Coturnix japonica: one gene and its partner. The main gene of each other region encodes a partner of the protein of the gene in region 2 in a complex. Links are inferred from orthologs where the notes say so. Each region holds a gene or a part of one and is shown on either strand. Other genes may lie near its edges.

What was found.
Region 1: RBM15B (region 2) and WTAP share a complex: the UniProt entries of both Homo sapiens proteins name them as parts of the WMM complex. The link is inferred for Coturnix japonica from reciprocal best matches to the Homo sapiens genes RBM15B and WTAP.

The regions. Positions count from the first base shown.
Region 1 is NC_029518.1:41,024,558-41,028,851, forward strand, and holds the start of WTAP (pre-mRNA-splicing regulator WTAP), read left to right. Parts: upstream 1-1,216; 5' UTR 1,217-1,492; intron 1,493-4,294. UniProt on the Homo sapiens protein: Associated component of the WMM complex, a complex that mediates N6-methyladenosine (m6A) methylation of RNAs, a modification that plays a role in the efficiency of mRNA splicing and RNA processing.
Region 2 is NC_029527.1:1,216,088-1,220,554, forward strand, and holds the start of RBM15B (putative RNA-binding protein 15B), read left to right. Parts: upstream 1-1,588; 5' UTR 1,589-1,710; coding exon 1,711-4,452; 3' UTR 4,453-4,467. Other genes in the region: MANF (mesencephalic astrocyte-derived neurotrophic factor), read left to right, coding at 95-236, 1,152-1,336. UniProt on the Homo sapiens protein: RNA-binding protein that acts as a key regulator of N6-methyladenosine (m6A) methylation of RNAs, thereby regulating different processes, such as alternative splicing of mRNAs and X chromosome inactivation mediated by Xist RNA.

The DNA of each region.
Region 1 (4,294 bases), on a different chromosome or scaffold from region 2:
ACATCTGTACTTACATTGTCTGTTATAAGCATCCCAGACCTGAGCTTAACTGAGTCACCACTCAGCTGTAATTGTAGCCTAATTGATTGGTTGCTGTTTAGGTGATGCCTTGAGGAGACACTCCACAACATACAGGTGTGAATATATTCCTGACCACCACATTGCGTGCAGCAACTCACAGGTGTGCAGTGGTACCACAAGCGTTGCAGTTAAGCATTATATCAGCTCCACAGACAGCAGTTATAAAATGATAGTATTATATTAACACTGCAGAAGTTGCTGTGGTGCTGTCCAAATGTTCGCTGCTTTTTGCACTGAGCTGAAGTCCATAGTATTTAGTCCAGTATTTGACACATGTGATCACTTTGTGCTCATCTAAAACTTTTAAAGCAAACACCTGCAAAGGATTTGTGGAGGAAGCAGGGCAGGAAAACCGAAAGCGCAATCACAGTCCCTGTTTTTTAGCTCAGATCTAAGATAAGGCTTTCAAAGTACTTCAGCTTTGTATTGCTGGGGTCATCACTCATGTGAAACTTGCTTTTTTGTGTAGCCACACCAGATCTCTGTATACACGCCTTGAGCTTCAAGGTCTTTCTATCGCTAACTCAGGGAAACTGATGCTTCTATATAAATACAAACAGGGAATATGTACGTTGGAATCCCTCCAACGTTTTGTTACCAATTAACACAGCCACGAAGCCGGATTTCTATCGCACCTTCAGGCAGGCAGCGAGGCACAGAGAACCGACTTCAGCTGGGGGTTGACAACTTCCAGCAGCCCGTTCCAGCCCAGCGATTCCATAACACAGCAACCAGCCGAACCCCAGCCGGGCACAGAGCACCGAGCTCACAGCGCACCCTGTGAGGAGCCTCCACAAACCAGCCTCAGTACCGCGGTATCCTTCCGCCCGCCCCGTGATGCCCCGCACTAAACGCTCGTCCCGCCCCTCCGCCGTTTAACTGACGGCTTTTAAACCAACGTTCCGATAACCGGGGAAGCAGCCGCAGCGGGACAGCGAGCCCAGCCCGCCATCGTGTGTGTGCTGCGAGAGAGGCGAGTTCCCCAGGGGAGCCTCTGAGCAGCCGGGCCGACCCGCCAAGAGGCCGCTCCGCCATCGGGGTCGGCACAACCCCCCTCCCCGCTCACTGCGGCGGCTCCAGCTCCCGCCGCGCATCGCGTGTTGCGCGCGCAGCCGCCGCCCTGTGTCGCGGGGCGGAGCGGGCGGGCGCTCATTTCCTCCTTGGGCGCCATTTTGTAGCGCAGAGAGTCCGCAAATAAAGAGCGGGCGGGAGCGGCGCGCGGGGACGCGCGGCTGGGGGGGACGCGGCCGAGACCCCGGCTGCGGAGCGGAGGAACCGGCCGAGCCGGCGGCGGGCGAGGGAGGCGGCGGACGGGCCGGTGCGAGCGGCGTTCGGCACTCGATGTGACGGGTCCGGCCCGGGCTATCGAGCGAGCTGCCGAGAGAGCGGGCCTACGCACCGCCGGCGGGAGGTGAGCGGGAGAGCGGGCGCCGTTTCACCGTGGGCGGCGGCGGGCACCCGGCGGTCCGGCCCTCACCACGGGCGGGAGGGGAGCGGAAGCGCCTAGAGCCATTTTGTGCCAGGCCCGGCGGCCCGCGGGGAGTCTCCTCCCCCACACTCGGCCGCGCCGCGCCCCGGCGCCGTCCGCCTCGAAGGAGGGAGGGGGTGGGAAGAACCGCCACGGGCCGGGGGGGCCGCGGGGTGTGAGGGGTGAGCGGCTGCGGCGGGCACGGGCCGCGGGGTTCGGCGCATAAGGTGGGGCTGGAACGGAGGGGAGGGGGCGGGAGCCGAGGCGGTGTGAAATCAGCCCGCGGCCGAGCGTGAAGTGTGTGTGTATGTACGTGTGTGTGTGGATGGGGGGGGTACCTTTTTCCCCTTCTCGCGGAAGCCTAGATGCTTTTTTAGGGATTTCCCCACAACGCTTATTTACGTATCATTAAAGGAACTGGCAGTTAGTTAAAGCACGAGTAGGGAAGCAGCAGCTCGCTCATATCTGTGCTTAACTACTTCTTGACTTCCTTGTTCTGTTTAAATGAGTTGAGTTTAGAGTGAATGCTTGCATGGGAATTGGGAGGTGAAATTCACATATGCTGTTATCTATCTGTGTATGTATTCAACCTAAGTTTTCTGAGGTAACTTACTGAATTCTTTTAGTAAACTTTATTTTGTGGCGGTGTTTTTTTTATGTCTATCCGCTGCAAATGATAACAAGTGATAGTAAGGCTGCCTTGTGCAATGCAGTGGCCTGTAGCATCCATCTTCCTCGCTGCTGTTGAAGGATCTTCAACAGATGGCAAGAGTTAGCTTTGCTGTCAATGTAGTTTTCTTTTTTTAGCTGTAATTGTAGTTCTCTTGGACACAGGAAATTGTGTTTCTCTCTGTCAAGGATTTCAGTGGTGCTGAAGTTTTCAAGGCTGGAACTTGTGAATACGGAAGCAGTAAAAGATTCCTAAATGTTTTAAGGAGGATTTAAGTAGGCGACTTAAGTACAGGGCTCACTAGCATTCTTTTTCCAATCTCTAAGTTATTCTGTGTTAGTTTGAATGAGTGAGTTGAGCACCATCAAGTTCATATTTAGCCTCTTGGATATATATTCAAGGTACGTGTTAAGTGAAGCAGGAGCTGTGCCAGAAGTTAAAGCACTGAGGAGTGGGGAGGAGAGGGCTTTATCTTGGGGAAGCACTTCAGTTCTGCCATCATCGTATCATAGTATCATAGTCTCGTGAGGGTCGGAAGGGAACTTAGAGATCACCATGAGGGCTAGGAACAGGAAGCTGCCATTCATCAGTGAGATGCTTTTACTACGTGTTTTTAGAGCCATTCCCACAGGTTCTGATGTCAGTTTCTATTTTATGAAGGGCTTAGAATCTGTTTCCTCTGTGTGCACTGCTTGCTGTCTTCTTAGGGTTTTCTTTGAAAGAAAAAGAAACTTGATTTGAATGGAGTTCTGTGTATTTGTTGGTAGTTAGTAGGTTTCTGTAAACTGAGGCAGTTGTGCTTCATTTGGAGTGTATTTGTGTTATTGACAGGAATGGGGCCCTTAGGATTTGTAGAAGTTCCATTAGTTCCATGCGTGCCTTTGTGAATATACCAAAGGTGCTTCGTGTGAGTCCTTTGAAACCAGTTCTTTGAATTGAAGTGCATTGTTTTCATCAAGTTGTGTTCATGACTGAGGAGTTGGCTGCATAATTTGAGTAGACATGAGTTGCAGCAGCTCTATACACTTGTCAAATCTCAGTACTGTTTGCAGCTTTCTATGGAAGGCACATTGCAAAGATGCATGGCTCTAAAGAAGTTCAGCTTCCTTGTTAAATATGCTTTAATGCTGTAATAGCTAATAGTCTTGTGCGGGTTGGAAGGGACCTTAGAGATCATCGAGTCCAACCCCCGGGATTCGAGCCTCTGTGTAGCAGAGCGGCACTTCTACCACTTGCACCACAGGGGGGATTCGAACCCAGGCCCTGTCTAAGGGTTTTTGTGGGCTTGATTTTTAATGTTGTCTGACTTAAATAAATCTCTATTTGCAGGTAAGAAAGCGTGTCTAGTAACTCAAGGAAGTGTGAATATTTAACTTAGCACAAATGTGGTCCTGTTATGGTACATACACACAGGATGAATTGAATTTTGATAGTTAGCCAAGCCATTAACTGACATACTGCCTTCCCTAAAAATAACCACAAGGGCTTTTAACTTAATATTAAGTTTGTAGCTTAATATTAATTTATCACAATATCACAATTAAGCTTAATATTTATTTATCACAATCTTAAAAGTAAGAGTTGAAAGCACATAATGTGACCCAAGCTTTACAGGTAATGTTCGAAATAATTTGCTTTATTCTAAAATGGTACTGAAGTAGTAGTGTTAATTGCTTTTATAGTTGATGTTATCCCCTTCCTTGTGGAACACTGCATTAAGTAGTTTTGGACACACAGGAAATGCCACTTTGCTTATATTTATTTAAATTAACAAGGTCTGATGTTTTTAGCAGGACACGGGGAAATGGTTTTAAGTTGAAAGAGGGAAGATTTAGGTTGGATGTTAGGGGGAAGTTCTTTACTAGGAGAGTGGTTAGGTCCTGGAACAGGCTGCCCAGGGAGGTTGTGGATGCCCCGTCCTTGGAGGTGTTCAAGGCCAGGTTGGACGGGGCCCTGGGCAACCTGATCTAGTAAATGTGTATGTTTGGTGGCCCTGCCAGGCAGGGGGGTTGGAACTACATGATCCTTGAGGTCCCTTCCAACCCGGGTCATTCTGTGATTCTGTGATGTTTTGT
Region 2 (4,467 bases):
TAACTGTAAATGTCAGGCTGCAAAGAGATGGATAGAAAACCTTCTTATAGGAACGTTAACGTGGATTTCCAGCTCGCTTTTTTCTTCCCCTCAGTGCTATTATATCGGGGCTACAAGTGATGCAGCCACCAAAATCATTAACGAGGTGTCCAAACCAATGAGTCACCACATCCCCGTGGAAAAGATCTGCGAGAAACTGAAGAAGAAAGACAGTCAGATCTGCGAACTGAAATACGGTGAGTTGGCAGCACGAGGAAATGGGGGAACCCATTTAATGGGATCCTGGATGTGCTGGGAAGAAGCACGTTCAGGTCATTGGGGTCTCCAGGCGGGGCTGCTGTCAGTGGGTATCCCAGATGGCTGTAAGGGGATGGGCTGTATGGGGCATGCTCTGTATAGGGGATGCTCTGTATGGGGGATGCTCTGTATGGGGCATGCTCTGTATAGATGCTCGTTATAGGATGCTCTGTATTGGGGCATGCTCTTATAGGGGATGCTTCTGTTATGGCGCATGCTCTTTTAGGGGGCATGCTCGTGTATAGGGGAATGCTCGTATGGGATGCTCTGTTATGGTGCCATCTCTGTATAGGGGATGCTCTGTATGGGGCATGCTCTGTATAGGGATGCTCTGTATGGGGGCTGCTGGTGGGGCTGCTGGCTGCTTTAACCCCTTTAGCTTCTGCAGAACCACTGCTCAACCTCCCAGTTGGCAGCAGTGCTGTGCCCAAAGCCCTACTGGGACCTGGCTGTTCTGGCAGCACACAGTGCACCTGGGCTGGTGCCTGTTGAGCTGCCGGGCTGTGCGGGTGCTGCTGGCATCGCTGGGTGCTGCTGTCACCTGTCCTGGCTGCTGCCTCTCACCACCCAACTCGGACCCAACGCTCCGTGCTGCTGTCTGCCCTGAGAAGACCAAAGAACAGCCACAACCTTCATCCTGCCGGCCCCTCTTCCATCCCTGGGGGCGGCCATTGGGCTGCGGTTGCTGCTCTCCTCGTTCCTTGCACTAACGGAGCCCCGCAGCCTCCCAGGCAGCCAATGGCTGCCATCACCAGCCGCCGCTGTCTGCACGGCCCTGAGGACTCACAGTGGATCGTGTTGTTGCCGTGACCCCGTTGGAGCCGGTGCTGATGTTGGCTGTGCTGTCCCCGCAGACAAACAGATCGACCTGAGCAGCGCCGACCTGCGCAAACTGCGCGTCAAGGAGCTGCGGCGGATCCTGGACGACTGGGGCGAGACGTGTAAAGGCTGCGCCGAGAAATCCGACTTCATCCGCAGGATCCATGAACTCATGCCCAAGTACGCGCCCAGGGCGGCGGGGGCGCGCTCCGACCTGTGAGCCGTGTTGGCGCGGTTCGGTTCGGTTCGGTTCGGTTCGGTGTCTGTACGCATTAAAGTGACACGGTTCGGACCGCGCCGCCTCCGCTGTCACGTGCTTTTTCCCGCGGTTCGGGGGGTGGTGGGAGGGGCGGTGGGCGTGGCCGCGCAGCGCACGCCGCATTCTGATTGGCCGCCCGGAGTGACGCGCCGGCGGGAGGCGTTCCCGCGCACGTCTCGGCGCGCCGCCGCCGCGTTCAGCCGGCGCCATGCGGCGTGTCGCGCGGTGATGACGTGGAGCCCGCGCGGCGCGGCGGCCGGAGCCGCCTTCGTTCCCTTTTGTCCAAGATGGCGGCGGCCGCCGGAGGCGTCTCCTGAGCCGCGGGCCCCGGCGCCATGAAGCGCGGCAGCGAACGGGACGGCAGCCCGACGGGGGCCGGGGGAGGCCGCGCCGCCGCCGCCGCCAAGAGGCCCCGCGAGCGAGAGCGCGAGAGCAGCAGCCGGCGCGGCCCGCACCGCAGCTCGGGCGCGTCCCGCAGCAGCCGGGACAAGTCCACGCCCGGCGGCGGCGGCGGCGGCGGCGGAGGAAGCGGCGGAAGCGGCGGAGGCGGCTCCGGGTCCCGCAGCCACCGCGGCGATGAACGCGCCGGCGGCGCCGAGTCCAACCACCGTCCGGCAGCCGGCGGCAGTTCGGCCTCCGCAGCCCGCGGGCAGCCCGCCCCAGCCGCGGCCTCGTCGTCGTCGTCGTCCCGCGCGCTCGGCGTGCCCAAGGCCAAGGCGCTGCCCGGTGCCGTGGTGGCCCCGTCGCTGCTGTTGGCCGGGCCGCCGCCGGGCGCCGCGCCCTCGCTGCTGCTGGCGCCGCTGGGGGGCTCGGCCGGGCTGGCCGGGGAACCGCCCGGCTCGTGTGAGTACAAAACGCTGCTGGTGAGCGGGCTGAGCGCGGCCCTGCCCGACCAGCTGCTGGAGGACGGGCTGTTCCGCCTGTTCCAGCGCTTCGCGGGGGGGGGCGCCGGGGACATCAGCGTCAAACTCTCCCACACGCCCGAGCTCGGCCGCGTCGCCTACGTCAACTTCCGACACCCCGGGGACGCCCGCGACGCCCGGCGACACGCCCGGGCCCGGCAGCTGCTGCTCTACGACCGGCCGCTCAAGGTGGAGCCCGTGTACCTGCGCGGGGGCCGCAGGAGCCGCACGCCGCCCCCCGCCCCCTCCCCGGAGCCGCTGGGCTACCTGCCCCCCCTGCACGGCGCATACCAGTACAAGCAGCGCTCGCTCTCGCCCGTCACCAGCCCTTTGCTGCGGGAGCCGCGGCCCCGCCATGCACATGCTGCCGCCGCCGCCTTCGCGTTGGAAGCCGCCGCCATCGGGCTCTCCCGGGAGCGGGAGCGAGCCCTGGATTACTACGGGCTGTACGACGAGCGCGGCCGGCCCTACAGCTACCCCATCGTGGCCGAGGAAGACCTGATGCCGGAGGACGACCAGAGAGCCACCCGCAACCTCTTCATCGGCAACCTGGACCACAACGTCTCGGAGGTGGAGCTGCGACGGGCCTTCGAGAAGTACGGCATCATCGAAGAAGTGGTGATCAAGCGCCCGGCCCGCGGCCAAGGCGGCGCTTACGCCTTCCTTAAGTTCCAGAACTTGGACATGGCGCATCGGGCCAAGGTGGCGATGTCCGGCCGCGTTGTGGGCAGGAACCCCATCAAAATCGGCTACGGGAAAGCCAACCCCACTACCCGGCTGTGGGTGGGTGGGCTCGGCCCCAGTACTTCCCTGGCTGCCCTGGCGAGGGAGTTTGACCGCTTTGGCAGCATCAGGACTATTGACTATGTGAAGGGAGACAGTTTTGCTTATATCCAGTACGAAAGCTTGGACGCTGCCCAGGCCGCCTGCGCGCAGATGAGAGGCTTTCCCTTGGGTGGGCCGGAGAGGAGACTCCGTGTGGATTTTGCCAAAGCAGAAGAGACGAGATACCCGCAGCAGTACCAGCCCGCGCCCCTCCCCGTGCACTACGAGCTGCTCGCTGACGGATACAGCAGACACAGAAGCCTAGAGCAAGACTTGAGGGTGCGAGATAGGACTCCTCCGCACCTCCTGTACTCGGACAGAGACAGGAGCTTTGCAGAGGCAGACTGGGCCAGTCCTGCCAAAAACGCTGAGCGCAGGAACAACTTGGAGAGCTACAGCCGCTCGGTGCGGAGCCGGAGCGGAGAGCGCTGGGCCAGCGACAGCGACCGCGCCGTGCCCAAACTGTGGGAAGAGAGGAGGAAACGGCGGAGCCTTTCCAGCGACCGCGGCAGGACTGCGCACTCCCCTTACGAGGACAGAAGCAGGACAAAGGCCAGTGGGCCGGCTTCAGAGCGCAGCCCGGAGCGGGCTCGCAAGGAGAATCACACTACAGAATCCGGAGCTGAGAAAGAACAGAGCAACTCCCTCCAGAACAATCGTCACGCGACCGAGGAGAAACCCCACCGAGAGGCGTCCGACGCTGCGCAGCCTAAAAAAAGGGACAGCGAACGCAATCATCGAACTGCTGAATCGGAAGCAAAAACTCACGAGGAGCCGAAATCCGAGACCAAAAAGGTAAAGAATTTGTCGGAATACGCTCAGACGCTGCAGCTGGCTTGGAACGGGCTCCTCGTGCTAAAAAACAGCTGCTTCCCCACGTCTATGCACATCCTGGAGGGGGACCTCGGCGTCATCAACGGGCTCCTTAAAGACCATTCGTCCGGCGGGAAGCTCACGCAGCTCAAAATCGCTCAGAGACTTCGGCTCGACCAGCCCAAGCTGGATGAGGTGACTCGCCGTATCAAACAAGGCAGCCCCAATGGCTACGCCGTGCTCCTGGCGACGCAGTCCGCCCCGGGCGGCTCGGGGGCTGAGGGGACCTTCCCCGCGGTCGAGCCCGGTTTGCAGCGACGGCTGCTCAGGAATCTGGTCTCCTACTTGAAACAGAAGCAGGCTGCTGGGGTTATCAGCCTGCCCGTGGGAGGAGCGAAGGGCAGAGACAGCACAGGCATGCTTTACGCGTTCCCTCCTTGTGAATTCTCTCAGCAGTACCTCCAGTCAGCACTAAGGACATTGGGGAAGTTGGAAGAGGAACATATGGTGATAGTTATAGTCAAAGACACTGCCTAGCCCACACTGTCTTTT